Ovis aries: one gene and its partner. The protein of the gene in region 1 purifies or fractionates together with the protein of each later gene. This does not show direct contact. Links are inferred from orthologs where the notes say so. Each region holds a gene or a part of one and is shown in the gene's direction. Other genes may lie near its edges. The genes, in order: LRFN4 and NCK2.

What was found.
Region 2: the proteins of LRFN4 (region 1) and NCK2 purify together in Homo sapiens (co-immunoprecipitation; 3 studies listed by BioGRID and IntAct, counting the BioPlex papers as one, with this or other methods). This does not show direct contact. The link is inferred for Ovis aries from reciprocal best matches to the Homo sapiens genes LRFN4 and NCK2.

The regions. Positions count from the first base shown.
Region 1 is NC_056074.1:41,272,655-41,288,398, forward strand, and holds LRFN4 (leucine-rich repeat and fibronectin type-III domain-containing protein 4), read left to right. Parts: upstream 1-8,623; 5' UTR 8,624-8,632; coding exon 8,633-10,314; intron 10,315-10,888; coding exon 10,889-11,450; 3' UTR 11,451-11,711; downstream 11,712-15,744. Other genes in the region: PC (pyruvate carboxylase, mitochondrial), read right to left, coding at 505-753, 831-971, 1,242-1,490, 1,577-1,756, 1,838-2,082, 2,249-2,498, 2,621-2,861, 3,371-3,527 and 5 more. UniProt on the Homo sapiens protein: Promotes neurite outgrowth in hippocampal neurons. May play a role in redistributing DLG4 to the cell periphery.
Region 2 is NC_056056.1:60,812,225-60,827,239, forward strand, and holds part of NCK2 (cytoplasmic protein NCK2), read left to right. Parts: intron 1-7,009; 5' UTR 7,010-7,025; coding exon 7,026-7,251; intron 7,252-15,015. UniProt on the Homo sapiens protein: Adapter protein which associates with tyrosine-phosphorylated growth factor receptors or their cellular substrates. Maintains low levels of EIF2S1 phosphorylation by promoting its dephosphorylation by PP1.

The DNA.
Region 1 (15,744 bases):
ACCACCAGTGTCCTCCTCGGCGCCTTCCTAGGAGGAGGGGACAGCCCCCCCTCCCAACTCCTGCCGGGGGTGTCTGGGGCAGCCCTGCTGCCTGTGCTGAGTGGCACTAGGACTCAGAGTGGAGGGCAGGGGAAAGCCAGTTTTTATTGAGCGAAGTTCTGCGACCTGGGCCTCAGGTCTCCCCTGCAGGAGGTAGCACCCCTAAGTCTGCTCCCACGGGCCCCAGGCCCACCTGCACGCCCACCTGCAGTCTTCAGCAAGGAGGGGACCCTTATTTGGCAGGAGATGAATACGTGAGTGACTGTCGGCTGCAGGGAAAGGAGAGACAGTGGGAGATGGGAATGGACCGCCACAGGCAGTCTCTCCTGCCATGAAGAGCCGTGGACAGGAGCTCCAGGGCCAGGCCTTCCTGGCCTCGGGCACTGGCCAGCCTGGGCCTGCCCTGGCAGCGCAGTGTCCTGAAGGCAAGGGCGGGGATGGTCAGGCTGCCGGTCTCGGGCACGGTCACTCGATCTCCAGGATGAGGTCGTCACCCTCCAGTGTCATGTCCTTAGTCACGTGGACCTTGCGGACAGTGCCCTCCACGGGCGAGGTCACTACAGTCTCCATCTTCATGGCGCTGAGCACACACAGGGGTTGGCCCTTGGTCACCCTGGCCCCTGCTGCCACCTTGATGTCTATCACCTTCCCGGGCATGGGTGCCCCGATCTGGCCCTTGACGTCCTTCAGGGCCTTGGGGTGGAAGTGCATTTCCTGCAGGCAGGGTGGACAGCACGTGAGGCCCCAGCCCTGCCCGTCCCCACCGCCTGGCTGGCCCAGGGCAGCTGTACCTTCATGGCCTGGGTGTCCTTGACCAGGATGGACCGCAGCTGTCCGTTGAGCTCGAAGAAGACCTGCCTCTGGCCCGCGCGGTTGAGGTCACTTATGGCCAAGGCTTTGATGTGCAGCGTCTTGCCTCGTTCCAGCTCCACCTGCAGGGAGGCCACCGGGAGGCTCAGCCAGGCGGGGCGAGGGCCAAGCAGGGAGAGCAGCCCCTGCCAGTCCCAGGCAGGGCACCCTACCTCCCCGGGGCTCAGCTCCACACTTGTAAAGACCTAGCTCCCGGGTCTCTTAAGGGTACTGTGTGAACCCCCAGCTCACGAGGCTGGGGGACAGGCACATCAGAGCCCTGGCACCCTGGAAGTGCTGGGGTCCCTTGGGGGGGCCGCTGTGCAGCGCAGGTAGGTGCCAGAGGCACTGACCTCAAACTCCTCTGCAATCTTGGGTCCCTGCAGGAAGAGGCGCGTATTGAGGCTGTCCAGGGGGCCGAAGGTGGCGGTGAAGTCCTTGAAGTGGGCAAAGACATCGGGGTACATGGCGGCTGAGAGCACGTCCTCTGGGGTCACCTCCTCCCCGTGCCGTTCTGTCAGCTCCTTCTCCAGCGCCTGCAGGTCCAGGGGTGGGAGGGAGGCTCCCGGCCGACCCTCCACCCTCGGCAGGTCTTTCAGCACCTGGGATGCAGAGCAGACGGTCAGGCCTGGTTCCCAGACGCCCTTGCACTGGCCCCCCACCCACCATGGCACCAGGCCTTCCTGACCTTGGAGCGAAGGGGCTCTGGGAAGCCCCCATGGGGGATGCCGATGTAGCCCTGCAGGAACTCCACCACCGAGCGGGGGAAGGACAGCTCCTCTGCCTGCGCTTCGGCCTCGGCTCGGGTCAGCCCGTTCTGCACCATGAACTGGGCCAGGTCCCCCACGATCTTGGAGGAGGGCGTCACCTGAGGAGAGGGGACCCCTGGGTTTAGGGTGCCAGGCACCTTACAGAGGCCCCGAGGCAAGGGTGGGAGCGCCTGGCTCACCTTGATGAGATCGCCCAGCATCTGGTTGGCCTCCACGTAGGCCTTCTTGACCTCCTTGAACTTGGAGCCAAGCCCCATGCTGTGCGCCTGGAAGTGTAGGTTGGTGTACTGGCCCCCTGGGATCTCGTTCTCGTACACGTCCGAGTTGCCAGACTTCATGGTGGCCGTGCAGTCAAAGGCCGCGTACAGCCCCCGGGCCCCCTCCCAGTACTCACTGTAGTCGAACACACGCTCCAGGGGCACACCTGCAGGGACACCAGAGGCGGGAGGCTTGGAAATGTGCTGAGTCCCAGAGGCCCCTCCCGGGACCCCAGGTCCAATCAGGCACCACCGCAGACGTGGGTGATGGAAGGCCCGGCCTGGAGAGGCCACCCCGACTGCCAGGACGGGCAGGGCTGTGGCTGTGCCTACCTGTGTCCAGGGCCGTCCCTCGGGTACAGGCCACCAGGGCCCCCATGCTGGGTTGTGACGTCATTCCAGACATGGAGTCAGCTGCCACGTCCACCACGTCAGCCCCCGCGTGGGCACAGGCCAGCATGGCTGCCACACCCGCCCCTGACGTGTCGTGGGTGTGGATGTGCAGCGGGAGGTCAGGGAAGCGGTCCCGGAGGGAGCTTACCAGCATGGTGCAGGCCATGGGCTTCAGCAGCCCGGCCATGTCCTGAGAGAAGCAGGGAGGAGACAGTGAGGGGTGGGCACGCGGTGTGCCCAGCGGGGGTGAGGTGCATCACAGCGGGGAGGCGGGGCGGGGGGCAGACTCCCGGGGGTGGGCTGGGCGGGCACCTTGATGCACAGGATGTGGGTGCCGGCTCGCACCAGCTCCTCGGCCAAGCCCAGGTAGTACTGCAGTGAGTACTTGGTGCGGCTGGGGTCGGACACGTCCCCCGTGTAGGAGATGGCGGCCTCCACCACGCCACCGGCACTGCCGGCTGCCTCCATGCCCAGCAGCAGGTTGGGCAGGTAGTTGAGGGAGTCAAAGACCCGGAAGATGTCCATGCCATTCTCCTTGGCCACCTCGCAGAACCTGAGTGGTTAGGAGCGCTCAGGGTTAGCTCCAGCCCACCCCCTCAGCACATCCTTTGCTGGCTCCTGGCCCTCTTGCAACCCCTGGAGAGTGAGATCTGAGGGCCGGGTCTGGCGGGGGCACCATGGCATGTCCATGGCGTGGATAAGCCTCTCTGGGGCAGCCTAGGTCGGGCGGGGTCACCCCAGCAGCATCTGACGAGCAGCAGAGCCGCCCGACGCCAGTCGCGTGCAGTGCGGCTCCGTCTGCCCCAGTCAGAAGGATCGCTGGGGATCGTTTGCTTTGCCAAGGCGTGGCAGGCTGAGGAGACGGAGGCCTGGCTTCCAGCTGCAGCTCTGCACACGTGTGCTGGGGCTCATCTGCCCTCCGGGGGCCTCCCCTGGAAGCCCTCCCAGTTCTCTCATTTGCCGCCCTGGCTGGGCACAGCTACTGAGGGTTGGTTTCCGGCCCACTGTGGGGCACGCAGGCCTCACACTGGGGCCCAAACGGCGCACCCCACCCAGGCTCACTTGAAGACCACGTTGTCGGGGTAGTTGGTGTAGCCCACGGCATTGGCCCCCCGCAGCAGCATCTGGAATGGGATGTTGGGGACGAGCTCCCGGAGCTCCTGCAGCCGTCGCCAGGGGCACTCGTATAGGAAGCGCATGGCGACGTCAAAGGTGGCTCCTGCACCGGGACCAAGGGGCCCAGGTCAGCCCCTCGCGTCCCAGGGGCCCTGCCACACCCCGAAGCCTGCACCTCCAGTCCTAACAGCGCCCTGCTCATCAGGGTCCCTTGCGTCCCGGGGGCCCTGCCACTCCCCGCAGCCTGCACCTCTGGTCCTAACAGCGCCCCACTCATCAGGGTCCATCGCGTCCTGGCACTAACCCCTGCACACTTTCCTTTGCTGGCCCCTCGGGGTCACGGTGTCCTCTCTGTGTCCCCCTCACGGCCCTCACCCCTCTTCTCTGTGCCACAGCACGCTAACAGGTTGGCATCTCCTCTCTCACCCCGAGCTGCCAGGGTCTCAGCTCCGCGACCTCAGGTCCGGGAGAAAGGACACCGGTCACTATTTGCTAAACCCGTGAACGCCTTGCCTTGTTCAGTTCTCATGGGTTCCCACCTCCAGCTTGTCCCAGAGAGCAACCCGCCTGCACTGTGGGGCCCACGCTCCCTCCCTCTCCCAGCCTACCTCCCCAGTTCTCTATGCTGAAGAGTTTGTTGAAGCTGTGGGCAACGTAGGGGGAGATCTTTTTGAGATCATGGGTGCGCACGCGCGTGGCCAGCAGTGACTGGTGGGCATCCCTGAAGGTCGTGTCCATCAGCAGCAGCCCCTCATGGTTCCGCACTGCTCGAGCAAAGCCCTCAGGCCCCTCCCGCAGCAGGATGTCTCTGAAACCCGTTGGGGGTGGGCCTAGGGCAGAGCGGGGCATTAGCACCCACCCTGCAAGTGGCAGCCTCCATGTCACCGCTGTGAGGTGGCAGAAGGGATCTCACCTACCGATGGGCACCACAGGGACGATGGGGTCTGTGGGGCTGGGGTTGGCCTTGACGGGGATCGGGGTGGTTGGGCCATTCACCATGACGTGTCCTGGGAAGAGAGTGGGCGAGGGTCAGGGCAGGCTGGGCCAAGCCTGAGTCGAGGGCAGAAGTGAGAGTGGCTGGGCCTGGGGCTGGGGGTACTCCTCCAGGACCCCGGGTCTTCCAGCTGGCCCCTGTCCTCTCCAGAGCCAGGGCCTCCTGGGTCAAGGCAGTGGGGACCTGGTGACGGCCACACGGAGGAAGAAGCAGCCTCTGAGATCAGGGGCGGGGGGTCAGGGGCGGGGGGTGAAGCAAAAGAAGAGGTGCGTGGCCAGGCCGAGGACGGGGCAGAAGCAAGGCATCCAGGGTGGGGAAGAGAAGGGAGACTCGGGCAAACCAAGGTAGTGCAGCAGCTTCTGGGCCCGGTTCTGTGCGGGCCGCAGCTGGAACAGCTCCGGGTTCTCGTCGATGAACTGCGTGTCCACGGTGCCTGCCAGGAACTGCTGGTTGTTGAGTACGTTCTGCAGGAAGGGGATGTTGGTCTGCAGGACAGAGGCAGGTAGGAGGGTGTCACTGTGCAGTCTGGCCAGGGACAGGAGTGGCTGGACGTGCTGCCGGGGACTGCGATGCAAGCCTCCCCGTGAAATGGCGGTCCCGCCCGCTTCACCACCCCCACCCCGGTCCTGGCTGAGCCCCCAGGCTGTCAGGGGCCTGAGCCCACCCCCCTACCCTGCTCGCCCTGGAGCCTGTGCTGAGTCCCGCCTCCCCACTCCTTCCAGCCAGACTGAAGACGGATTTGGCCTTTCCTGCAGCACCGCCCCTCCCCACCATGCTTCCTCAAAGGGGCCTCAACATCCAGGGACCCCACCACTGCACGCAGCATGCGCTCTGACAGTCTGAGGTCCCTCCTTCCAGTTAAATCCACCCTCCTCCTGCCAGCAACTCCCGCCGGGATGCCCTCTCCTTGGGCTTCCAAGACTTTTCGCTCCCCTCTGCCTCCTCCCTCGTTCCACGTTCCACGGGGGTTCCTCCCACCCCTGCAGGAAGGAGGCTGTCACCCAGCCTCTCCTTCTCGCCCAGCACTCTCTCCCAGGGTGGCCTGTCCTGGCCACTAGCTCCAGACCCCACATGGAAGTGCCTCCTGGGCACCTCTTCCTGAGCGCCCCTCACACAAGCTCATCCAATCCCATGTCGGCCTGTCTCCCCCAGGCCTCCCCTACCTTCCGTGGCATGCCTCACCACCCACCTGGCTCCCAAAACCTGAGCTCATCACCTTCACCACTCACTCCTGTGCCAACAGGCACACTGGACGACTCTACCACAGCCATCTCTGGACTCCGTGTCCCCTCGGCCTCAGGCCGGGCTTCCCAGTCACGGCCACCTCTAGTCACTCCAGACTTGCCCTGTGCGCTCACATCGCCACGCCTGCTGGCTGAGCTCCTCCTGAGGCCTGAACTCAAAGACCTTCCCGGTCCTCATCTCCTGCCCTCATGGCAGAGCCGTCCCTTTCTAGGACTCCATGGGACCAGCCGTGGGAAAGCCTTGCTCAGCCTCATCATCTTGTCTGCAATCTTCTCAGACCCGGGAGCACTTTAGAGGCAAGGGTGCCGTCTGAGGGGCTGGTGCCCACGTGCTCTGTGCACAAGGGCCCTCTGTTCTGCTTATTAAACAGCTGGGTGACAGCATGAAGCCGCGGCAGGGCTGAGTCCACCCTGGGGGCCAAGGAGGGGTCGGGTGGGAGTGCCTGGGAGCCCGTGCTACAGGAGCTGCCCCAGGACACGCTGCAAGGCCTAGTGGACGCGACTCCAGTGTGCGTGCACCTGTGGCTGTGTGGCTACGGCCCGGCTGTCACTTCAGAGAAGGCAACTTTGTGGGTTGCACATGCGCGATCCTCTCGCACCTTCAATAGGAAACCCAGGCCCACCAGGCCCTGGGCCCTGAGGCTGCTCTGAAAGATTCTTCCTGTCCCCAGGGCTCTCGTCACCTCCCCCACCAGCACCCACGGCGGCCACCGCAGAGTGGGGCCAGCCAACATTGCCTCATGCCTGCCGGGTGTAACCAGCTTGCCTGTCTGTCCCTGAGACTAGTCCGTGCTCCTCCTAAAATGGGGACCTTTCAGCTGGGCCAAGGCATGGAATCTGAGACAAGAAAACCAATTCAACCAGCTAAAGAACCTAGCGCATCATAGGGGTGGCAAGGATGCTAAGAGGCCTCCACGTCCCACCCTGTGTTTCCCTTGGGCAGACCCTTCCTCCTCTGTAATTTCTGGAGGATGTCACCCAATCCATCCTCCATGGGGGAGTAAGCTCCATGCAGGCAGGCAGGCCCCTCTGGTTTCCGATCTATCCCAGCTCCCCTCGGAGCAGCACGTGGTGGATGCCAGTAACTTGTACGTTGAGAGTGAATGAAAACGTTCTTGATAGGGAGAAGAAAAGGGAGTATCCGATGCCACTGAGCAAGAGGTGACCTGGGCAAGGATCCAGCGCCCTCATTTTACAAATTCAACAGCCGCAGAGGCCCGAGGAGTGGCACCAAAAAGAATGCTTTCCAGCTGCCTGAGCCCCTCACAAGTCACCTCCTCTCTTCTCTCAACCCATGAAGCACCAACAATCAACACTCCTTAGCCTGAATAAGAAAACTGTCTCAGTGGTTAAGAACTTGCCCAAGGTTACCGGGTGTACCAGGCAAGATTAGAAATCCAAGGAAACGGCAACCCACTCCAGTATTCTTGCCTGGGAAATCCCATGGACAGGGAAGCCTGGCGGAGTACAGTCCATAGGGTCTCAAGAGCTGCACAAGACTTAGCGACTAAACCACCACCGTTTCCTTGAGGAGCCTGAGGGCTAGAAAATACTTGGGGGAGGTGGTAACTTCCCTTGTTTCCCTGCTGGGCCCAGACGAAAGACCAGGGTCCGCGTTCAGCCTCAGAGCGCTCAGCGCTCCCAGCCGAGCCCGGATCTCAGAGGCAAAAGCCGGGAACTCAACCCCGCCGACACATCGCGGGACCCCCGTCTCAGCCGGGCCGACTCGTTCTGGGCCACTCTTTCAGGGAAATGCCCGGTAGGAACAGAAGGGGGAGGGAGGGGCCGCCGGGCAGGCCAGGAACCCTGACGCACAGCTTCAAACGGCGTGCCACTGCCGGCCTGCCGGGAAAGCGCGCCGCGCAGACCAATCGGGCCGGAGGCGGAGACCGGTTGGTTCCCGTGCGCGCCCGGCGGGGCGGGGAGCCTGGGACGAGGAGGGAGGGGCCGGCAGCGGGGGCGGGGCGCGGCGCCAGCCCGAGGCCGAGCCCTCTCCGCCCCACCCCGCTGGAGCCCGGCCGGGGGGCATCGCCCCAGCCCTCCCCTCCCCCCGCAGGGCCCGTGCCTGTTGGGGACCCTCCACGTGACTTGGTGATGCAGAACGGTTATGACCTTCACCGTGTGTCTGTGAACGCGAGGGTCCCAGCAACAGTGCGGGTTTGCACCCGGCCCTGCCGGTGGGTGCGGGGACGTGTGGGAGTGTGGGCATGTGTGGGTGTGTTGGGGAGGGTGCCCAACGACATGTGACAAAGACTCTCGTCTCTGGGAGATGGTGAAGGGGCCCGCGAGCTGGCGCTTTGTCTGCCTGTCTGCAGAGTGACGGTTCGCGCAGCGGCAGCAGGCGCCCGTGCGGTGCAGGATGCCGGGGCGCCAGGGTGGCCGGGGGCGCGCGCGCCTATGCCCGGGTGAGTGCGCTGCGGCAGCGCCGGGGGGCTGCGCGGCGGGTCCGCGCCGGCCCGGGCCTCGGGCGTGACCAGGAGCCACCCGTGGGCGCTGCAGTGGCCGCGTGTCCGGGTGACCTCGGGAGCCGGCCGGAGCCCGGGTGGATCCCCGCGCGCCCCTCCCCGTCCGCTCTCCACGTGCGTGTCCGCGGTGCGCGTGCTCGCTGGCGCGCACCCGCCTGCCTGTCGCTGCTGCTGCTGCTGCTGCCGCCGCCGCCGCCGCCGCGAATCGCTCCGGGAAAAGGTGCCGCGAACCGAGTGAGCTGGGGCCGCGGGCCCGAGCGCCATGGGCCGGAAGGCGCGCGGAACGCGGCTGGTCAGCCCCGGGCCTCATCCCCGCGGGAGAGGCGCCTGGAGTCGGCAAGGGCCGGCCGGGCCCACGGGGAGGCCGGCCCGCGCCCCCTGAGCTACGGACACCAGGTGAGGGGGCCGTGGGGGGCAGTGTGGGGAGCGGCCAGGGAGGGGCGGGGGCCCCAGGAGGGCTTGGGGAGGCACCTTAGCCGGCGGGGGAGGGGATGGCGCCGAAGGGATGCTGGCGAGTCCAGGGGACGCCAGGGGAAGGAAGTTCCGGGACCCTCCCTGCGCTCCCGGCCACCTCCGCTTCCTGCTCACGCCTCACCTTGTCCCCAGAGCCTGGGCTCCCTCTCACGGCTTGGGAAATGTGACCTTTATTCCGGGGGCCTGGCTCTGCAGGCCCCAGCCTTATCTCAGCTTTGGGGGACCCCTTGGGCCTTTGACCCTGACCCCACCCCCAGGCCGGGCTCTGGAAGCTGCCCCCCCCCAAGATCTGCCCGGGGCAAGTGGGCAGCGGTGCCAACCCCACCTGTGCCTGGGCTGTGGCCCTTCCTACAGGGCGCTCGCCATGGCCCCGCCGCTCCTGCTGCTGCTGCTGGCCAGTGGAGCGGCCGCCTGCCCACTGCCCTGCATCTGCCAGAACCTGTCGGAGTCGCTCAGCACCCTGTGTGCCCACCGAGGCCTGCTGTTCGTGCCGCCCAACGTGGACCGGCGCACGGTGGAGCTGCGGCTGGCTGACAACTTCATCCAGGCCCTGGGGCCGCCGGACTTCCGCAACATGACCGGGCTGGTGGACCTGACGCTGTCCCGCAACGCCATCACCCGCATCGGGGCCCGCGCCTTCGGGGACCTGGAGAGCCTGCGCTCCCTGCACCTGGACGGCAACAGGTTGGCGGAGCTGGGCGCAGGCAGCCTGCGGGGCCCTGCCAACCTGCAGCACCTCATCCTCAGTGGCAACCAGCTGGGCCGCATCGCGCCAGGCGCCTTCGACGACTTCCTGGGCAGCTTGGAGGACCTGGACCTGTCCTACAACAATCTGCGGCAAGTGCCCTGGGCCGGTATCGGCGCCATGCCCGCCCTGCACACCCTCAACCTGGACCACAACCTCATCGACGCGCTGCCCCCAGGCGCCTTTGCCCAGCTCAGCCAGCTCTCCCGCCTTGACCTCACTTCCAACCGCCTGGCCACGCTGGCGCCCGACCCGCTCTTCTCCCGGGGCCGCCACGCCGAGGCCTCGCCCACGCCACTGGTGCTGAGCTTCAGCGGGAACCCTCTGCACTGCAACTGCGAGCTGCTCTGGCTGCGGCGGCTGGCACGGCCCGACGACCTGGAGACCTGCGCCTCCCCGCCCGGCCTAGCCGGCCGCTACTTCTGGACGGTGCCCGAGGGCGAGTTCTCCTGTGAGCCGCCCCTCATCGCCCGCCACACACAGCGCCTCTGGGTGCTGGAGGGCCAGCGGGCCACGCTGCGGTGCCGGGCCCTCGGCGACCCCGCGCCCACCATGCACTGGGTCGGCCCCGATGACCGGCTGGTGGGCAACTCCTCCCGGGCTCGGGCTTTTCCCAATGGGACCCTGGAGATTGGGGTGACGGGCTCCGGGGACGCGGGGGCCTACACCTGTATTGCCACCAACCCGGCCGGCGAGGCCACGGCCCGCGTTGAACTGCGGGTGCTGGCTCTGCCCCACGGGGGGAACGGCAGCACCGAGGGGGGCCGCCCGGGGCCCTCGGACATCGCGGCTTCAGCCCGCACGGCTGCGGAGGGCGAGGGCACGCCTGAGTTGGAGCCGGCTGTGCAGGTGACGGAGGTGACAGCCACCTCCGGGCTGGTGAGCTGGGGGCCAGGGCGGCCAGCAGACCCCGTGTGGATGTTCCAGCTCCAGTACAACAGCAGCGAGGACGAGACCCTCATCTACCGGTGAGGGGGCGATCTGCAGTCCAGAGCCCCCAGCTTGGGAGCCGCCCTCCTCTGAGCCAGCTCTGCCCCCTCTGGGGAGGGCTGGCCACCTCTCCTGCCCCTGCTCTCTCCTGGGGCTTCCATGCACCCCTTCTCAGTTTCCGAGCTGGGGGGTCGTGGGGGCTGCAGGGGGAGGGGAGGGGAGGAGTCTGTGCCCCACGAGGTCCCAGGCGAGGCTGGCAGGCGGAGCCCGGGGTGCTGGCGTCTGTGTTCAGGCACTGGCTTAGCCTCACGGGCACTGCTGTGTGAGTCTCTGCAGCCTCTGAGGCCCGGGGCGGGCCTGGGTGTCGATGGGCACACCTGTCTGCCCTGCACCATCTCCAGGGCCACACGCGCCTGCTTGTTTCCTCCGCCTTCTGAAGTGAACACACAGGCTCCTGTGGGCCTGGGGAAGGGGCTTCTCAGAGCTGGGACCTGAGAGCGTGTGTGTGTGGGGGGGTGGGCTGCGAAGGGAGCTTCAAGGCCTTGTGGCCCTGGGCAGGGGGCGGGGGCCTGGACCCCAGGCCTGCGCTCTGACCCCTGCCCTTGCCCGCAGGATCGTCCCGGCCTCCAGCCATCGCTTCCTGTTGAAGCACCTGGTCCCGGGCGCCGACTACGACCTCTGCCTGCTGGCGCTGTCACCCGCTGCTGGGCCCTCTGACCTCACTGCCACCCGGCTGCTGGGCTGCGCCCACTTCTCCACGCTGCCAGCCACGCCCCTGTGCCACGCCCTGCAGGCCCACGTGCTGGGCGGGACCCTGACTGTGGCCGTAGGGGGCGTGCTGGTGGCTGCCTTACTGGTCTTCACTGTGGCCTTGCTGGTTCGGGGCCGGGGGGCCGGGAACGGCCGTCTCCCCCTCAAGCTCAGCCACGTGCAGTCGCAGACCAACGGAGGCCCCAGCCCCACGCCCAAGGCGCACCCCCCACGCAGCCCGCCGCCTCGCCCCCAGCGCAGCTGCTCCCTGGACCTGGGGGACAGCGGCGGGTGCTACGGTTACGCCAGGCGCCTCGGAGGGGCCTGGGCCCGACGGAGCCACTCTGTGCACGGGGGGCTGCTCGGGGCTGGGGGCCGGGGGGCGGGGGGCAGCGCCGAGCGGCTGGAGGAGAGCGTGGTCTGAGGGCTGGGAGACCTCCCGGGAGGCAGAGGGTGCAGGCGGGCGGCCTCCTGGCCTGGTGGGTCAGCGTGGCTGGAGAGCACCCGCCCCGGCCCTCCCCTCAGTGCCTCTGGCAGGACAGGGGCCCTTGCCCTGGTTCTGGCCTCCAGTCGGGCAAAACGGGACAGGCCCCTGTGATAGGTGCTCACGGCCTCCGAGCGGGGGCTGCAGCTGCCAAGTGGAAGTCTTGTCTTTCTTTATAATAAAATTATTGGGGCCACCTCAGTGCTAGTCTCTGGCCTGGTCCTGCCCGGCTCCCTGAGGGGCCTGTGGAAGCACAGACAAGGGGGTCAGGCTGGGGTTCCCAGCCCTGTGGAGGCGGCCCCAGCAGCCTGGGTGCCCTGGAGAGCAGGCGGCTCTGTGCCCACATCTATATGCAGAGGGCGCCCCTGCCTGGAGTGTGCGGCCAGGACGCTCGCCTGGCACAGACATCAGAGCGCACAGGGCAGCAGCGGGAGTCGGTGGGGGATGGCCCGGCTCTTCCGGGCAACGGGACCTGGGCTGGTAACTCAGAAAGTCCCCACTGACCCCTGCTGGTGACAGTGTCTTTCCCCATTGGCCAAGGTGCCTTCAGGATTTGTAACATCAAACCAAAGGGCCTAGAACCGCATCGCCCTGCTCTTGGTCTGGGACCCCCGGAGGGCTCCCGTCGGAAGTGCGGGCCCCGAGTGGGGTCTCGGCTCTCAGCTGCTCCCGACGCCCCTCAAGGCTTTGCTCTTGCTGGACATCCTGGGGCAAACACCAGGGGGCACCAGGCCCCCATGGCCACGGCTCTGGTTCCCACCTCGAGAACCAGGCTCGGGGCAGCATGCCCTGCCCTGTCCCACCCCCTCCAGCTCATGTCCCCACCAGCCCATGGCCCAGACGGCCTCCTCCAGCCTTCAAACAACCACTGCTCCCAAGTGTCGGCTGGGAGGAAGCTGCAAACACACCCCAGGCATGCGTGGTTCTCTGGTGGTGCCAGGAGCACCCATGCAGGTACCCGGGCCCCGCTGTGGAGGCAGGTGTGGCACCCCTGCCCGTGGGGCTGTACCTGTGCTGAGGGGTGGTGCGCCCTTCTGCCTAAGCCCTGCTGTGCCTCTGATGGCAGCCTGGTGAGAGCTGGTGTGGTAAGGTGCGTGTGTACGCGTGTGCCGGCTGAGCTCACACACGTGTGCGTGGCGTTGACACACACATGTGCCTGCCCACCCAGCCCCGGAACACATACCTGGATGTGGCCCAAGAGAGATCCTGGTTTAAATAAAGTGAAACAAGGGGTTCAGCCAAGAGAAGCAGGAGAATGTGAGCCGTGCCAGGGCAGCACGGAAGGCGGCGGGGCCGGTGCCCGGTCTGGGCATGCACCGGGGGGCACTGGGGCCCTCCTCCACCTTCTGGCGCGAAGGCAGTGGGAGCTTGGGAGCCCCCAGCCTGTCGGACGGGTGGACAGTACTATGGCCCAGGGTCACCAGCAGGACAAGAGCACAGGGGTGGGCAGGCGGGGGGTGGGGTGACCGGGCCCCCTGCTCACCAGTCCCCCGGCCCAGAGCAGCCCCGGACATGGCCTGCCACCATGCCACATCCCGGCCATGTGTGCAGGGAACGGCCCCTGACCAGGTGCCCTGAGGCTCTTCACGGAAGCGCAGATACCCCCAGCACGGGGGACAGCCCTGTCCTGTGAGGTGGGCTGAGAGCGGAGAGTGGCCACTGCCCCGCAGGCTCCTCCGTCCCGCCTGCTTTTTGAAAAGGTGATGGGGATGGAGCAGGGCTGAGCGAGGACAGCGCTGCCCACGTGGCCCAGACCCAGCGCCCAGCCTGGACCCAGCAGGGCGGGAGCCACTGAGAAGGCGGGGGCTGCGGAGTGCCGTGTGCGGTGTAGGGACTCGGGGGCAGCTCCCCCACCGTGGGCTGGGCCACTAGTGTGGTCCCCTGCCCCTGGCCCTGCAGCAGGTCTAAAGTGGCATGTGCCCAGGGCAGGCCCACGGGTACGCAGAGGCACTGGCCTCGGACACAAGACAGCCTGCGGCAATGACTTCACCTCTGGCTATGGACACAGGTGACAGAGATGACCCAGAGGCCAGGGGCATCTCGGGGCTGCAGCCTCTCACCTTCACGCCTCGGACTCGGAACTCGGCCAGGGCTCTGCTCATCTTGGTGGCAGCCGTGGGGTGGTCCTTGCCGTGGGCGATGACCTTGACCAGCAGGGAGTCGTAGTGGGGGGAGATGACAGCGCCTTGGAAGGCAGAGGCGTTGTCCAGGCGGATGCCCATGCCCTCCCCGCTCCGGAACACCTGCGGGCAGAGGTGGCCCAGTCAGGCCAAGGTCTGAAGCTGGAGTCGAGACATGGCACCCCCGTGGCCCCAGGCTGGACCAGCATGGGCCGGCAGGGCTCCAAGAGTCACGCACAGATGACCCCCAACTCTGGTTTGAGAACTTCTGCTTCATTTCTGCCAGCAAACCGAGGGGCACCCCACCGGCTCTAAGGGCCACAGTCACGGTTTCCTCCTCCCTGAGAGGAGCTGGCAGGGGAAGAGGGCAGGACGAAGGGTGGGGAGCATGGGCCCCGCCAGCCCCAGGCTCGGGGCCCCACTCTCAGGGCCGACGCGGAGTCAGCAGGGCACGGAGGGGCCAGACCTGCCACCCGCCTGCTTGACCAGCCCCCTTGCCTTTCAGATTCATTTGTTCACTCATTCAGTCCGCAGCGCGTGTGCCCACCTCACGCCAGGCACTGGGGACAGAGCAGCTAAAACAGAGGCCCCGCTCAAGCAGGGGTCCCAGCCTGCGGGGCGAGGGGACAGACAGAGGAGGAAACACAGACGAGCGGCAAGGGCGCTGCAGGACGGAGCCAGGCAGGGGAGGCAGGCCGAGGGGGTCCCTAACACCCAGCGACAGGGAAGGCCTCGGGGTCCCCCGCCTTCCCTCCCTGTCAAGTGGGAGAGGAAGGAGCAGTGAGCTGATGAGAAACGCTGGGACCAGATGCAACGAGATGCACGTGAGCCCACAGGCCCAGACAGGGAAGCAGAGGGCGAGGGTCAGAGAGGCGGCTCAGGGGCACAGCCGGGGCTCCCAGGAGTCACCGGTGGAGACTCAGGGCTGGGGGAGGGGCTTTGGGTGTGAATGCCCGGGGTGGGGGCCTCGTGAGCAGCACTGGCCAGGGAGACGGGGAGCGGGAGGGACAAGCGGGGGCCTGGGGACACACACTGCACTGCACTTCCGCGTCTAAGGGACACAGCCTGTGCGTGATAAAAAGGAGCTTAATAAAATATTTAAGCGTGAACGCTCAGCTGTGAGCAGGAACCGTCAGCTAAAAATATTCTGTGGTAAACCAGGCTCGGAGGAGCCAGGCCTCGGAGATGGAGCTGTAGCGGGGCTGCCCCTGCCCGCCGAGGGCAGACTCGATGGGGGCGCCCGCTGGACAGTGCTCCAGCCTGGGAGCTGGCCCCCACCTGTGGACCTGGATCCTTCCAGAAACAGTCCTGGTGGTAGCTCTGCCTCAAGCCAAGCAGCCAATGCGACTCTCAGAACCAGACTGCTCCCCACCCCACCCCGCCTGGCCACCCCAGTCTGTCCTCTCAGGCTCAGTAACGGAGAATCACCCTCCTGTCCTCCCTCAGGTCCGCTTCCCCAGACTCCTGGGCCAGAGGGGGCAGCAGGAGGGCCGCAGAGTGCTGACTTGGAGCCAGAGGTATTCTTAGCTGGGGCATGAGGCAGGGCCAGAGGCCAGGGGCCCCAGCCGGCCCAGAGGCAGGGGCCGGGGGAGTCCACCAGGCCCCCTACGCCACTGCTCGGGCTCCTCCCTGTCCCCACCATCTCCCGGACTCCCGCATGCATCCCTGACAGGTCCCCTGGCCCAGCCCAGCCCCTCCACTGAGACCTCCGGGACCTCATCCCTCATGCGCCCGGCTCCTCCCCCAGGTTGAAGGCAGGACCGAAGCCAGCAGGACCCCTCAGTGGGCAGCGAAGCTTTGGGTCCTTGTGAGATGAGTCAAGGACCTGGGCTCTGTTCCTGGGGATTCCGCACTTGGCTCCACCCAGCTGACCTCCCTGTCCCCGCTGGTGGCCTTCCCAGCCTCCATGGCAGCCTCTCCCAGGAATGCTCTCCCCTTTAGTGCTGGACAGCGCCTGGCTCCCACATACTCTTAAGCTCCAGTGAGGCGCCCCCTTCACTGCTGGGCCCACAGGCTCCCTCGTGCCCCCCGGAGAATGGCCTTCATGCAGACCGAGCCGGGCGGCGGGCTCTGGCGGAGGTGGCCTACCTCGATGCGGCCGGTGTCGGGCTGGA
Region 2 (15,015 bases), on another chromosome or scaffold:
GAACTGTAAGGGAATGTTGGGCTGTTTCAAGCCGCTAAGTCTATGCAAGTGCCTACAGCAGCCCACGGAAAAAGAATGCCATGAGTAACCATGCCACGGTCAGTCCAAACAAAAATAACACTTTCATTGTTTTCTCTCATTTATCACACTGTTTTCCTCCCTTTGTTTATTTTGCAAATACTTTAAAATAGTACACTTGCTTTAAGGAGACCCACTCAGAGAAACGGTGTCAGAAGCAACTTTAAAAGACCTTATAAATTCTTTACTAAAGTTTCAAGTTTATTAAAGTTTCAGATTGCATGGTAGATAAGACTTACCAGATGCCAACTCATTTGACAGGAGTTGGCAGGAGCTTGTGGTGCCCTGAGGGGAACAGAAAGGCCAGTTGGTGGCTTTCTGCAAGCGTATCACTAATTACAGCTGCTAGACTTCAACTTCAAGTAGGACACGATATGGAATCTCATGTTGCTCCAGCTCTCAGCAAGTTAATTAAGCCATGATGAGAGTCAAGGTATTACTGCTTCCCTAAGGCACAAAAATACACTACATGTAAAAGAGAAAATAAACAACAGAACGGGCTTGGCACGCCTTCCTCCATGGGGAGGGGCACATGGTCAAAGATTGTTGTTTTTAGTTGCTAAATTGTGTCCAACTCTGTGACCCCATGCAGCGTAGCCCGCCATGCACAGACTCCTCTGTCCATGGGATTCTCCAGGCAAGAATAGTGGAGTAGGTTGCTATTTCCTCCTCCAAGGGATCTTCCTGACCCAGGGATCGGAACCCATGTCTCCTGCCTTGGCAGGCGAATTCTTTACTGCCAAGTCACCAGGGAAGCCCAGTCATAGGAGGAGCTGCTAGCATCCCCCTGGTGCCCATGGGGCTGCTTCCTAACTGTGAGCTCATCCCAGCTCTGCAGTCACCCTGTGAAGCAGGGACGATGGATCTACAGAGACACTGAATGAATGATGAAACTGGGGCTTAGAGATGTAAGATAACCTGTCCACGTCCACAGGCTGGAAAGTGCCTGAGCCAGGATTCAAACCGACGAGAAGGGTCTTATCCCAAAGCCTGAGCGCCCCGCACTGTCCTCTTACATGCTAGAGTACTGGGCAGGAGATTTTGGCAGCCTGGCCCCCTGGCACTAACCATCAGTGCTATACCATGCACAGTGCTTTCATGCTGACTGTGATTCCCGTTCTGAGTCTGTGTGTGGGCAGGGGGCTCAGAGCTGTTTTCACAAACTCCTGGAGGAGGTGTTCTTCTTGCCCCACACGACAGAAGGGCAGCTGGGCTGAGGTGCACAGCCGACTCCAGCCCAGGCCTGTATGACATGAAACCTCGCCCCTTAATCACGACATCACTGGGCTGCTTCCAGGGGTCTGGATACCTCCTGAAGCGAGGCAGTTACTGCTGTCTTGTCCTACAGAATGAGAGGAAGGCCAGGGGGATGCACAGAAGGCCCAGCTAAGCATTGACCCCAGATTATTGTTTCTTATGTTAATTTTTATTTGCTTGGCTGCACTGGGTCTTAGTTGTGGGGTCTTTGGATCTTCATTGTAGCAGGCGGGGTCTTTAGTTGCAGCATGTGAACTCAGGTTGCTGCATATGGGATCCAGCTCCCCATCCAGGGATCAAACCTTTTACAGTGGGCAAGAAATCTTAGCCACTGGACCACCTAGGAAATCCTGAACCCCAGACTCTTTATTCAGGTTTTTTGTTTGTAGTTATGAGTGGTTCAGCTTGGCCCCCGAGACCCCTTTGGGAGTGTCCGTGAGCATTTTGGGGTATTGGTTGTTCTGAGAATTATGTAATCCAGCCCTAAAGCAGCAAGCTGCAGTTAACAGGCTCTTTTTTAGAGAGTCCCAGAATAGGACTGATATTATTTTAGGAGTTAGTGACAACTGCCGGGCCAAGAAAGTTTTATAACTATTCCAGTCTGTTTGGGGTTTTTTTTTTTTTTTTTTTTTTTAAATCTTCTTCCACCCAAGACTTGAAAAAGCAGCTTAGCATGTTAGATTTTCTGAGTTTCTTTAATTCAGTATAAAATAGGGTTTTTCTTGCTAATCTGTATCGCTAACTGTTAAAAGTGTATGACTGGTCGCATGACATGAAACATGGCCTGGCTGCAGAATATTAACTTTGTGGCTCTTCTTTCTGTTGGCTATAGGTGGGTGAATATTAGCTTAGTGAATGAAGGCAAAAATTTGATTTTCCTGACCTGCCCAAGCTGGAGGGGTAAATGTACACTATGCTTTGTATCTGACCTCTGTAAGTCCTAGACCACATCAGCGTCCCATTTCTGACATAAAATTTCTGAGGTCAATTAGAAGGTACTTCCTCAGACTTTCTTCTGTTATGGCTTTTCTGTATTAGGAATTTAAGTCACTTTGTACATCTGGTTTATATTGGGGGATAATCTTAATTCAGTGCCAGCCTCTTCTTGTTACACAGTTCATCCTACACTCATATCAGACTTCTCATTACTGGAAGGACTGGCTCCTCTTGGCCTCCTGGAGCAGTTTCCCAGGACCTTGGGTGGAACCCCCACTCTTGCCCCCCTACCCTTACCAACAGCTCCCTCCAGGGTGGCCGTCCAGCCGCCAGTCTCTACAGCCTGAATGGCCAAAGGAAGGCAAAGTGGGGTCTGTGGCCTGGGTGCTGGTGGGCGGGGTGGGTAGACCTGTGCACTGACTGTGATTGGTTGTCGATGGGGGTGTGTGGCTATTGTTGTGGTTGTTGATGGGGGAGTGTGGTCATTGGGGTGAGGTGGTTGTTGATGGAGAGCTGTGATTGCTAGCGTGAGGTGGTGGTTGATGGTGGGCTCTGATCACTCACCCAAGAAGTGATCACAGGACCACAACCCTGGGCTCAAGTCCTGGCTCTGCTGTTCAGCAAGTCACTGAATCTCTGATTGTCCCTCTCTTTAAAATTTGCACTTCCCCAAGAGGTGGGTGTTTGGAGATTAAATGAGCACCCTGTGCACGCTAGTGTCCTCCCCTAGACTAAGCACTCACTTCAACAGTCCCTGCTCCAGACCCAGGAGGAGCACCTTCAAGGAGGGCTGTTGGAGTCACCTGAGGCCCGTGAAATGCTAGGGACATTCAGCCCCCACTCCTGGGGGTCCCAGGTGCCCGAGGAGGTTGGAGTCAGGCACAGCATGTTCTAGGCTCCTTTCCCTGTGATTGTCAACCTGCACTGAAACCTACCATGCCAGCCAGAGCCTAACTTACCAGCTTTTTCACGAAGTTAAATTGTGCAGAAAATTTATAGATTGCTTTGATTGGTCTTGAATGATGTGCTGTTCTTGTTAAAATCTCTCTTTAAAACAACTGTAATTTGAGACACAAACCTGGTATCCCAATAAAATACTGTCTGAACCTCATTCCTTTTACTGCTCGGGCCCCTCCCCTCATGACTGAAAAAAGAGAAACGACCTCCATGACCTTCAAAAATCAAGCCTGACAGTGAGTTCAGTACATATGGAGACACCCATGGACTTGAGATTTTCTGAAAGTAGATAACAGTATTGCCTACAGTTTAGAAATGAGCTTTGTGTAAACTGTCTCCCTGGATATTGTGTACATTATGTGTAAGGTTTATTCATCATCGCCTCCTTCCCCAAAGGTTTGTTATCTGTAAGTTTGGAAGTTAATTCATGAAGGAGGAGAACATGTATTATTTATAAGTGTCTTTAGCATCTAGCAGCAGAGAGTGTCATGTTATTTAAAAATGGGATTCATTCTTCTGTGGAGTCAGTGCGCTAGGTCCCCTCTGTCATCCTGAAGTAGACCCTGTAAATAATGAGAACTCCTCCCTGTCAGATAAGGAGAGGGTTTCAGTCAAAAGCCTTTCCATTATTCATGTCTTCCTAGTTTTGAGTAAATGTGTAGTCATTTAAATGACTGAATGTTGAATTTTTCTGTTGCAAACATACTGGCCCACCTTCTACCTGAGAAGTTAGGAAATAGCTCATAACTATAGTCATTGTGGAGCTTCCCCGGTGGCTGAGTGGTAAAAAATCTGCCTGCCAATGCAGGAGATGCAGGTTCGATGCTTGAGTCGGGAAGATCCCCTGGAAGAGGAAATGGCAACCCACTCCAGTATTCTTGCCTGGAGAATCCCGTGGACAGAGGAGCCTGGTGGGCTGTGGTTCATGGGGGTCACAAAGAGTTGGGTATGACTGAAGAACTAAACACTAGCCATAGTTACTGTAGTCATTCAGATATACTTTTACTATTTGTTACTTTGAGAACTGACTTACTGAGGTAGGTAATATACCGAATTCTTTGTTGTTTTAATAAACTTTTGGTTTTGGAGTTCACTCTTGGTATTTCCTGACAAATGTGTCATGACATGTGTCCACTGTTACTGTATCGTGCAGAATTGTCAGACTGCTCTAAACATCCCTGTGTTCCACCCAGTCCTCCTTCCTTCTGTCTCTGATCTTTGCAATGTCTCTGTAGTTTTGCCATTTCCGGAATGTTATATACTTGGATTTATTGAAGAAAACATGACACTTCTTAAAGCATGGTTTAGCTGATTTTACTCAGGGAAGTACTTTGAAGGATTTTTGCCATAGTGGGGAGAGACTGGGCTCACATCCACCTACAGGAGGGAAGGGGGGGGGGTAGTTTGTAGTCCAGGAGTGAGGAGGTGGGGAGCACATGAGAGGAAGCATCAGAGGTGAGAGGGGGTTCTGGCTGCACTGACCTCACAAGATGCCTCCTAAGAAGAGGCGTCACCTCTCTAAGGGTCCAGCAACTCAGCAGGATTCTTGCTAGAATTCAGAGAGTTGATGTCTAGTCTGCGCAGAGAATTCAGAGGAGTCTGACTCAAGTTTGGTCAAGGAGAGAGTTTTTGTGAGAATCACAGTCTGCAGCCTTCTCAGATGGGCTTCTTCCACATAGTCTTATATGTATCTGAAGTTCCTCCACGTCTTTTCATGGCTTGACAGCTCATTTCTTTTTATCACTGAGTAATATTTCACTGGGGCTTCCCTGCTGGCTCGGACTTCCCTGGTGACTCAGACAGTAAAGCGTCTGTCTACAATGCGGGAGACCCGGGTTCGATCCCTGGGTTGGGAAGATCCCCTGAAGAAAAAAGTGGCAATCCACTCCAGGACTATTGCCTGGAAAATCCCGTGGACAGAGGAGCCTGGTAGGCTACAGTCCATGGGGTCACAAAGAGTTGGACGCGACTGAGCGACTTCACTTCACTTCCCTGCTGGCTCAGTTGCAAAGAATCTGTCTGCCAGTGCAGGAGGCGCAGGTTCAGTCTTTGGATTGGAAATATCCCCTGGAGAAGGAAACGGCAACCCATTCTGGTATTCTTGTCTGGGAAAATCTCATGGACAGAGTAGCCTGGCAGGTCTCAGTGAGTCGGACACAACTCCGGAACTTAACAACAACAATCAATAATACTCCATTATTTGGATGGACTATAGTTGATTTACCCATCACCTACTGATGGGCAGCTGGATGACTCCCAAATCTTGGCAGTTATGAATGAAGCCGCTATAAACATCTGTGTTTCAGGTTCCAGGGATGATTTTATATTTATGGAAAAGCTGCAAAGATGGTGCAAAGCATTCCAAATATCCCCCACTCAGTTTTCTAAGTGCTAACATCTTGCCTGACAAGGGACATGTGTCGGAAGTAAGAGTTGGTTAGTGGTAAACTATTGACTAACTTCACTTTGTTGCTGTGGTTATTTAGTCACTCAGTCGTGTCTGACTCTTTGTGACCCTGTGGACTGTAGCCCACCAGGCTTCTCTGTTCATGGAATCTCCCAGGCAAGAATACTAAAGTGGGTTGCCATTTCCTCCTCCAGGAGATCTTCTCGACCCAGGGATCAAACCCATGCCTCGTGTATTGGCAGGCAGATCCTTTACCTCTGAGTCACCAGGGAAGCCCCAGACTTCCCTTGGATTTCTCTAGTGTTCATATTTGAGGATTCAGTCCAGGATACCATTTCAGTTTGAGTGTGTCACAGTCATTAAGTATGTTCAGAAAATTCAGCTTATCCTGAGAAAATGGATGTAACAGTGTCAGCTGTAAGAATCTGGTGTTACTTAACCGATGAACAGAAGATGAGATGGTTGGATGGCATCACTGACTCAATGGACATGAGGTTGAGTAAATTACAGAAGTTGGCAATGAACGGGGGGCCTGGCGTGCTGCAATCCATGGGGTCGTAAAGAGTCGGACACGACTGAGTGACTGGACTGAACTGAACATATTTAATTATGATACCATTATTTTATGTAGGTTTTGGAAAGCTTTTGTTGTTTTAAGCAAAGCATACAGAGTTCCAACTGTGCAAAATTAAGATTTGCTTGATAAGGTCAAGCATTTGGTCATTTCTAAACAAAATACTAAAGGTTGTTGAAGGAAGGTCATCTTAAGGTTTTTTCAAGACCCCAGAGACAGCCAGTTGCCAACTTGTTTTTTAAAACCTTTTATTTTGTATTGGAGTATAGCTGCTTAACAATGTTGTGATAGTTTCAGGTGGACAACAAAGGGACTCAGCCATACATATTCATGTGTCTGTTCTCCCCTAAACTCCCCTCTCATCCAGGCTGCCACATGATATTGAGCAGAGTTCCCAGTGCTCTACAGTAGGTCCTTGTTGGTTAACCATTTTAAGTAGAGCAGTGTGTACATGTCCATCCCACGCTCCCTAACTATCCCTTCCCCCAGCCTTTCCCCTGGCCACCATAAGTTTGTTCTCTAAGTCTCTGAGTCTGTTTCTGTTTTGTAAGATTCATCTGTATCATGTCCTTTTAGATTCCACGTATAGGGGATGCCATACAAGTTCCCCTTCTCTGTCTGACTTGCCTCAGTCAGTATGATGATCTCTGGGTCCATCCATGTTGCTGCAAATGGCATCGCTTCATTCTTTCTGATGGTTGCCAAGCTGTAATAAAAGCTGTCAGGGTGTAGTTTTCCAAGTGGAGGCAGTGGTGTTTGGCCAGGGCTCTAATGACTCTCTTCAAATGTTTTGCTGGCAGAAGTACTCCATGAAAGATGACAGAGGAGGTCATCGTCATAGCCAAGTGGGACTACACGGCCCAGCAGGATCAGGAGCTGGACATCAAGAAGAACGAGCGCCTGTGGCTACTGGACGACTCCAAGACGTGGTGGCGGGTGCGCAACGCAGCCAACCGGACAGGCTATGTGCCGTCCAACTACGTGGAGAGGAAAAACAGCCTGAAGAAGGGCTCGCTGGTGAAGAACATCAAGGACACGCTCGGTGAGTGGCGGGCGTAGCGGGCCCCTGGGCTGGACCCTAGCCCAGCGCAGAGGGCGGGCAGTCTCAGGGCAGGGGGTCGGGGGGGTCGTCATTTTCATTCGTGTTTGAAGAAAAAAAGGCATCTTTCTATTCGTCTTTCTTAAGAGTCTCTGGGCTTTGAGATGCAGTGCAGAAATAGCCTGTTTGTCATTTCCTTGCGATGTTCAAGTTCGGAGGCTTCTGTAAGCTGACCCTTCCATGTGTTTTGAACCTCTACCTCCCGCCCTGCACATCTCAGTCTCCTGGCATCAATGTTCTGGAGGGGCCTGAGATGGGAATTAGCCTCTCCAGGCACGTCCACAGCTCCACCCGGGTCATTCCATCCAGTCTTTTCTCCCACAGAATCCTGTGCGTGGGACCTTTGTGAGTAGAGGAGGAGATAGTGAAAAGCACCTGGAACCTGGTGAATTGTTTCCCCCTGTTGAATTGGCGGCATTTCATACCACAGTTGCGCACGGTGGCAGCTAAGGTGGGGACTCGGAGGGGGTGGTATGATGCCGAGGCCGCTGGGGTGACTCACAGGGGGCCAGCTGGGCACCTGGCTTTCTTCCCATGCGCCTGTCCCCTTCCCTGGTGTCTGGACATGAGAGAGGCCATCTGGGTCCACTGGAGTTGATGGTATCCGGTCTCACCTTCGTGTGGGCATCAGGCTTCCTTGCAGTAGTCACGGCTGCAGAGGGAGTCAGAGTTACTTCCTGAAGGTCAGGTCCGTGATGTCTCCTTCCATGAGCACCATACAGTGACCCCTGAGACCACTGGCTGTCACGGGAGAGTTTGCTCTCGAAATAGGTCAGTGTTATCACCCACGTTACATGTCCTTGAAGTTTTCCTTTTTATTTCTAACCTGAGAATTGGTTTCATTTGAGGGAGGGGAACAGGTAGGGAAACTGAAAGGAGAATTAAGCTCTGAGTGTGATGAGTGTTGCAAAATATTCATCTTTCATTTTCTGCAATCTTGAAGAGTCCACTGACTTTCTTTGAAACCATACGAAGCCTTCACCCACTGGAGAGTAATTTTGTGTCATGGGTTAGGTTATTTCCGTGACTCTGAAAGAGAAATGAGACACTGGCCAGCGTGTGGATCACATCAGCTACTGTAGACTCTGCCTGATGGAGAAATTCTGCTTTTCATGAGCAATCTGATTCTTTTCCATGAAAGTGACACCCGTTTGTCTTTTTTCCCAAGCTTGTCACTTGAAAGAAACACTGTTGTCCTGTGCGTATAATTCTCCATTAACTGTGATCTAGAATTTCGGAAAGTATGACTAGGTAAATACTTTAGGAGTGCCCTGAACTTAGTTTTATTTCTTCTTTTCCTTATCCACTCAAGTCCCTTTTTTTTTTTGGAGATGCTCAACATTGTTGATTTGTTTTGTCTTCTTTCTAATCCTTTTAAAAAAATATATTCTCAAGATTCTAGTAAAGAATGATGTTATTTAGTCACTAAGTCGTGTTTGACTCTTTGTGACCCCCATGGACTGTAGCCTACCAGGCTCCTCTGTCCATGAGATTTTTCCAGGCAAGAATACTGGAGTGGGTTGCCTTTTCCTCTTCCAGGGAATCTTCCCGACCTAGGGATCAAACTCGTATCTCCTGCATTTGCAGGTGGATTTTTTACTGCTGAGCCATCGGGGAAGTGCAATAAAGAATAAAACACCCAGAAATGGGATGGATCGCTGGGGAGTGAAATAAGGTGAAGGTAGCCCTCCAAGTTCCCCACAAATCCCCTTGAACAGCTTGTCCTTCCTCCCTTCAGCTTCTAGAACAAGAAGACAGCTGAGCTGTAAAGCACATTTGTGCTCAGGTTCAATTTTTCACGAGCCATGGTCAGTCTCTGGGACTCCCAGGACTCAGGGGGCATCACTCAGCCAGCTTGTCCACGTGTGGAGTGCCAGGCTTTCTCCCCCGCCCCAACAGATGGCCACCCAGCTCTGCAGGCTCATGTCTCCTTCCACGGAGCCAGCCAGTTCCATTTTGGGAGAACACAGATTGCTAGAAAGCTCTTCCTTAAATAGAATCAACATTCGCTCCTCTGTAACTCTCTCCGCGCAGCTCTCCTTGGCACTTGAGAGCTGTGCTGGGGAACCGTGCTTCTTTTCTGGGGACTGACCACCCTTCTCCACCTTTCCTCCCCCGTCAGGCCTTGGAAATGTTTGCACCAACCGTCATCTACTGTAAAAACACCAACAAAGTTATGTTCTGAACATCCATATCAATCCACAGCAGTTAATATTTATAGTAAGCAGTGGTCCTCAACCTTTTTGGCACCAGGGACTGTTTTCGTGGAAGACAATTTTTCCACAGACTGGAGGGGAGAGGATGATTCCAGGATGATTCAAACACATTACATTTATTGTGCACTTTATTTCTATCATTCTTACATCATCTCCACCTCAGATCATTAGGTGTTAGATACTGGATATTAGGGACCCCTGCTCTAAAGGCTCATGGGGTTCAGTATTCTCATCACCTGGGAGAAACTCCCCCCTTCATGGTTGGTCTTTCTTGCTTTGATGTGTTTACCTTGCTCACCCAAAGCCTTGCTTTTCTTGGACAAAGAGACCTTGTTGTCTTGGCCTGAGTCCTCCATTGGCCCCTCAAGCAGTGTCACTGAAAAGGGAGGCACCCGACAAGAGGCACCGTGGTGGAGTGACTTATCTCTCCATCATCAGACCTGACATGGCATCAGTATTGAGAAGGAAGGTGCCAAGACTTTCCCCATCCTCTCCTGCCTCCCGCTGGTCTTTGGAGCTAAGCCTTCCAAGGCTTCTGGTTTAAATCGATGTGACCTGTGTGCTGCTGTCGGAATTCCAGTGTGATCCTAGATGGATTACGGAGCCAGTGGATTTTCTTTCCACCGTGCATCAGAAATAGTGAAAACGGGCTCAGAAACCACACCACATGTGTGAACCTTCTAATAGCTACTCATGACATCATCCATGTTTGTGATTCGCCTGCTATGGTTAAAGCCAGATTAAGATTTCCCCGGCAGACACCTGGCTTGGGACAAAACAGCACAGACTTCCCAGCAAAGTCCCTGTGTACCACATGCCTGGTGACATCTCTAGTTGCAGACAACGGTGATCCACAGAGCCTCTCTGGCTTTTTTACATTCCTGCACTGGATTGAGGTTGGTCGCCAGTTTAATTCAATCACTTCTCATCCTTTGTTGGGCAGAAAGCAGTGTGTGTAGGCATGCTCAGTCATGTCCAGTCTTTGTGACCCCATGGACTGTAGCCCTCCAGGCTCCTCTGTCCATGGCATTTTCCAGGCAAGAACACTAGGTTGCCATGCCCTCCTTCAGGGGATCTTCCCGACCCAGATCAAACCTGAGTCTCTTCTGTCTCCTTCATTGGCAGGCAGACTCTTTACCACTAGTGCCACTTGGGAAGCCCCTAGACATAAAGCAGAGCCTTCCCCCCGAAGAGCTCTCTGTTAGGAACCAGATAACATTCTTTCTTTTCTTTTAATAATTTGTAATGAAGTAAAACAACATGAGCACTTCTTTGCATACAGGCAGTGCATTGATGCATACGTGCAACCATAGATCTCTCATACTCAGTTCGCGATCATGAACAGTCAAAGAGAACTTTGCCGCTAATAACAAGGAGCCGTCCTTATGAATTGCTTCTCCTAGCAGAGTGCGGGTAATATTTTAAAGGTTCAGCACATCCCTGGGCTCCAACCTGGCCTTGGTATTTCCATGACCTGACTCATAAAACCATGCAGGTGAGGTGTTATCAAGCCACGTGCTAAATCTTCTTAGCTGAAGGAGGTATTTTCTCGAAGAGCTATCTTTCTTGCTACTTCTCGACAGCAGCTGGACCCTGCTGCAGCCCCAAAGGTTAGCTGTCTTCTCAGTGATCACCTTAGGCCCAGGTACTGACCAGGCTGCCTAGAGAACCACGGCTCCATTATAACCTGTTAGTAGCCACCAGTGGAGGGTTGGCTCCAAGGCCCGCATGTCCACTGCAGACTGCCTCCCATGGTGTCTTGAACCAGCAGTGGGCTGCCACCAGGGCTGTTCCTTAGCCTTGGCCTCTATGTGACCTGACCTGAGGCCAGTTAGTCACCTGCCAGCGGTTAGCACCAAGACTCTACCTTTCTGAGTTCATGCCAGACCCGGGAGCAGAGAGAGGCTGCTCAAAGACCACTGCTCACTCTCTGAAGTACACCTCGTGCTGTCTGGGCTGAGGCTTGTGGTTGGAGAGGGACTGGTCCTGGGAGTGAAATTCCCCAGGTTCCTCAAAGCATATCCATGTGGGGTTGACTGAGCAATTTACTTCTGCAAGAAAAGGCACAGATGGGACAACTTGGGATTTTTTTTTTTAACTTTATTTTTTATTGGAGCATAACAGATTAACAATGTTGTGGTAGTTTCAGGTGAAGAGCAATGGGACCCAGTCGTGCATATACATGTATCCGTTCTCCTCCTAACTCTCCTCCCATCCAGCCTGCCACATAACACTGAGTGGAGTTCCCTGTGCTGTATGTAGGTAAATTTGCTTGTGTGTGTGTTTATTTTTAACCAACTCGAATATCAGGATTTAACTGGGTGGGCATTTGACAGGACTTTATAGCAAAGATAAGCAGCTAGGATGTTAAAAGGAAATTCTAGTGGTATGCGGTTCTCTATTTTAGAGATGAAAAACCAGAGTTTTATTCGTAAAGCTTGAGGGGTGTGTGAGTATGACAGTGAACATGTGTCGGTGTTAACGCCCTGGTTTTGATGGCAGGGTTGTGTTGAGGAGGAGGCTGTCTTCATGTGTGGAGGTGCACACCAGGTATTGAGGTAATGGGACAGGACACTGGCAGCTTGCTCTCAGAGAGCTCAGGGAAACACATCCTTTGTGCTGTTCTTACAACTTTACCAAACATTAAACCAAATGGGCAGACATCAAGTGGCCGAGGTTCTATTCCTGGGTCCGGAAGATCCCCTGGAGAAGGAAATGGCAGCTCACTCCAGTATTCTTGCCTGGAAAATCCCATGCACAGAGGAGCCTGGAAGGCTGCAGTCCATGGGTCGCGAGAGTGAGTGGGACATGAATGAGTGACTAAACCACCGTCACCATTCAGAGATCAGAGGATCACCGAGCACCTGCTGAGATCAGACCTGAACGTGAGGCTGCCACTGGGCGTGAACGTGCCAACTGAACCTTCCCCAGAATGTCCCCAGGCCGTGGCTCAGAACTTTCTGTAATCATCCAGCACTCCTTTCTGCAGCAGGCAGGGGAGGGAATCTTGCTTCTTGCTGGACCAGTCCAGGCTGCTTCAGCCAGTTCAATAAGCACGTCTTTGTTACAACAGAGACGGGAGAGAAAGATGGTCAGAAAGCACCTCGGGGTCCCACCTCTGTGGGGCCTTGGGGTGCCCTTTCAGGCCCCGCAGGTCTGTGGGTCTCTGCTGTGGTCACAAGCATCCTTGGCAGGTCTGAGCAAGGCAGGCAGCAGGCGATCTGTCCAGATGAGCCCAGGGTGAGGAATGCCGCGGTCCATGATTATCTCAGGCTGAGCTGGAGTTATCTCTTCCTCTCTCTGTCCCTTGGAAGTCCCTCTAAGCTCCTTGGTTCCTGCTGAGTCACCTCTGGGAACAATAGCCAAAGGCTTTGAGATGGGTGTCGACGTGCTGTGGGACCAGCCCCGTGTCCTTGTGCACGACAGGAGTGGAGCCCAGCGGGACGGAATAAAGGGTAGCGTTCAGCCCCTGGGTCTTGAGCGTGGGTGGACCGGAGGAGCAACCCTGGCCTAGATGCGTGGGGCTCAGTGGAACACTGGTGCTGTCCCTCGTGGGCCACTGCAAAGGACTGGACAGTACCCCTTGGCTCCTCTTTTATCCTTCTGGAAGCATTGGTGCATCCAGTCACTTCTGGCCCCACCTGCAAGGCTGCGTTGGTTTTCTCCCGCCCGTGCTGTCCCCTGGGACTGTAGAGGACTAGCTACTTCGTGAGCATCCTTTACTCTTGGCCCCGAGGGACTCACTTATCAATATCTCGCCCGGTTCCTTTAATGTTGAGGGGAGCAGGAGCTGTTAATGAAAATGATTGAGAAGCCAAATGTCCCAGGAGTACACCTCTCCCTCTTCTGTAAATTGATTTCCATTTTGGCAGCAGTCTCTTTGGCAGCAAGCACATTCTCTTGTCTTTGCCATTCACAGGCTTTTGGTATGACACGATTTCTGCACTCGGGTAGCCCTCAGAATTGTCATCTCTTTGAAATGCCTGTCTTTTATCAAACTGTTCATTGAAGGAAGGCATACTTATTTTTTAAATTTTTGGAAAATAGGATAAAACAAAAATCACCTGTGATCTTATCACCCAGAAGTAATGACTGTTGGCATTTGCATCTGTTTGCTCAGTACACACGTAGAATCAAAATAAGATTGTCGAGGGGACTTCCTGCTGGAGTCAGTACTGGCTGTCACCAGGCAGTTGGTGCTCAAGTATCTGCCCTTTCTGCTGAAGCCTGATTTCAACACATGCTGGAAAGGAGGTTTACTATATGGGTTTGGTCCATGCCTCCTTGCTTGGTCAGTGGTCAGGATGCTCAGTGTTTTTGTATTTTCTGTAAACAACCTAAGAGGAGAAGCTGATTCTTTACATTTGTCTTATAAGTAGTTTGGTTTTCTAGGTGACTGTCCATAAAGGATAAGAAAATTACTGATAGTCTTTCTACACGTCACTTAAACATAACTTCCTAAATGAAGTCACCATCTAAGGAACCAGTACAAAAAAGTACTTTTTTTTTTCATTTCTAAAAAGTACAAAACCAAACCACTCCCCTGAAGCTGAAGCTACACTACTTTGGCCACCTGATGCAAAGAGCCAGCTCATTGGAAAAGACCCTCAATCTGGGGAAGATAGAAGGCAAAAGGAGAATAGGGTGACAGAGGATGCCATCTCTGGATGGCATCACAGACTCAATGCACATGAGTTTGAGCAAGCTCCAGGAGATGGTGAAGGACAGGGGAGCCTGGCGTGCTGCTGTTCATGGGGTCACAAAAAGTTAGACATGACTGAGGGACTGGACAACAACAAACCACCCCCTAAGTTTTTATGTAGCGCGTGCAAAGAATATTGAGAGATCTCAGTTTGATTTTAAACATCCAGCTTTTCCAGTTGTCATCTCTTTACCATGTTATAGCAAGGACTCTGGGTTTGCAGAGCCACTTTTAACACTTGAGGTTCACCTCCTCAGTCTCTGCTATAATCTATACAGTTGTGCGAACCTGAATTACATACACCATGCCGTAATTTAGAACTCTCTAGCTCTGTCTCACGAGATCATTCACAGTACAGACGACCTGCCAAATGCAGTGCCCACAGACAGCAGAGACATCTACAGAAAACTGTGGTGCCAGCACCCAAAATAAACTTGGATCTGTTTCCGTATATCGTGAGCGTCCAAGTATTTAGAACAAAAAATGTAAAACAACTCACAACAGATCAGTGGGTGGATAATTAGAGAGAAAATAGAGACAGATTGTTCAGAAGAATGCTAATGGGAGAAAAGCCAGGAGGGGCCACGGGAAGGAGGAGGGGCTGCCCCCTTGAGAAGCCAGGGAGAAGCAGGTGTGCGGTGACTCGGGGGTTATGAAACCAGATGCGTCATCGCCTGGCCCCTTGTGCCCCAAGGAAGGACGAGGACAGCAGGTAAGATATTTCCCAGTTTCCTTCCCAGCAACTGGCACCTAAGTTGCTTCTTATTAAAATGATCATTTTTCTACAGA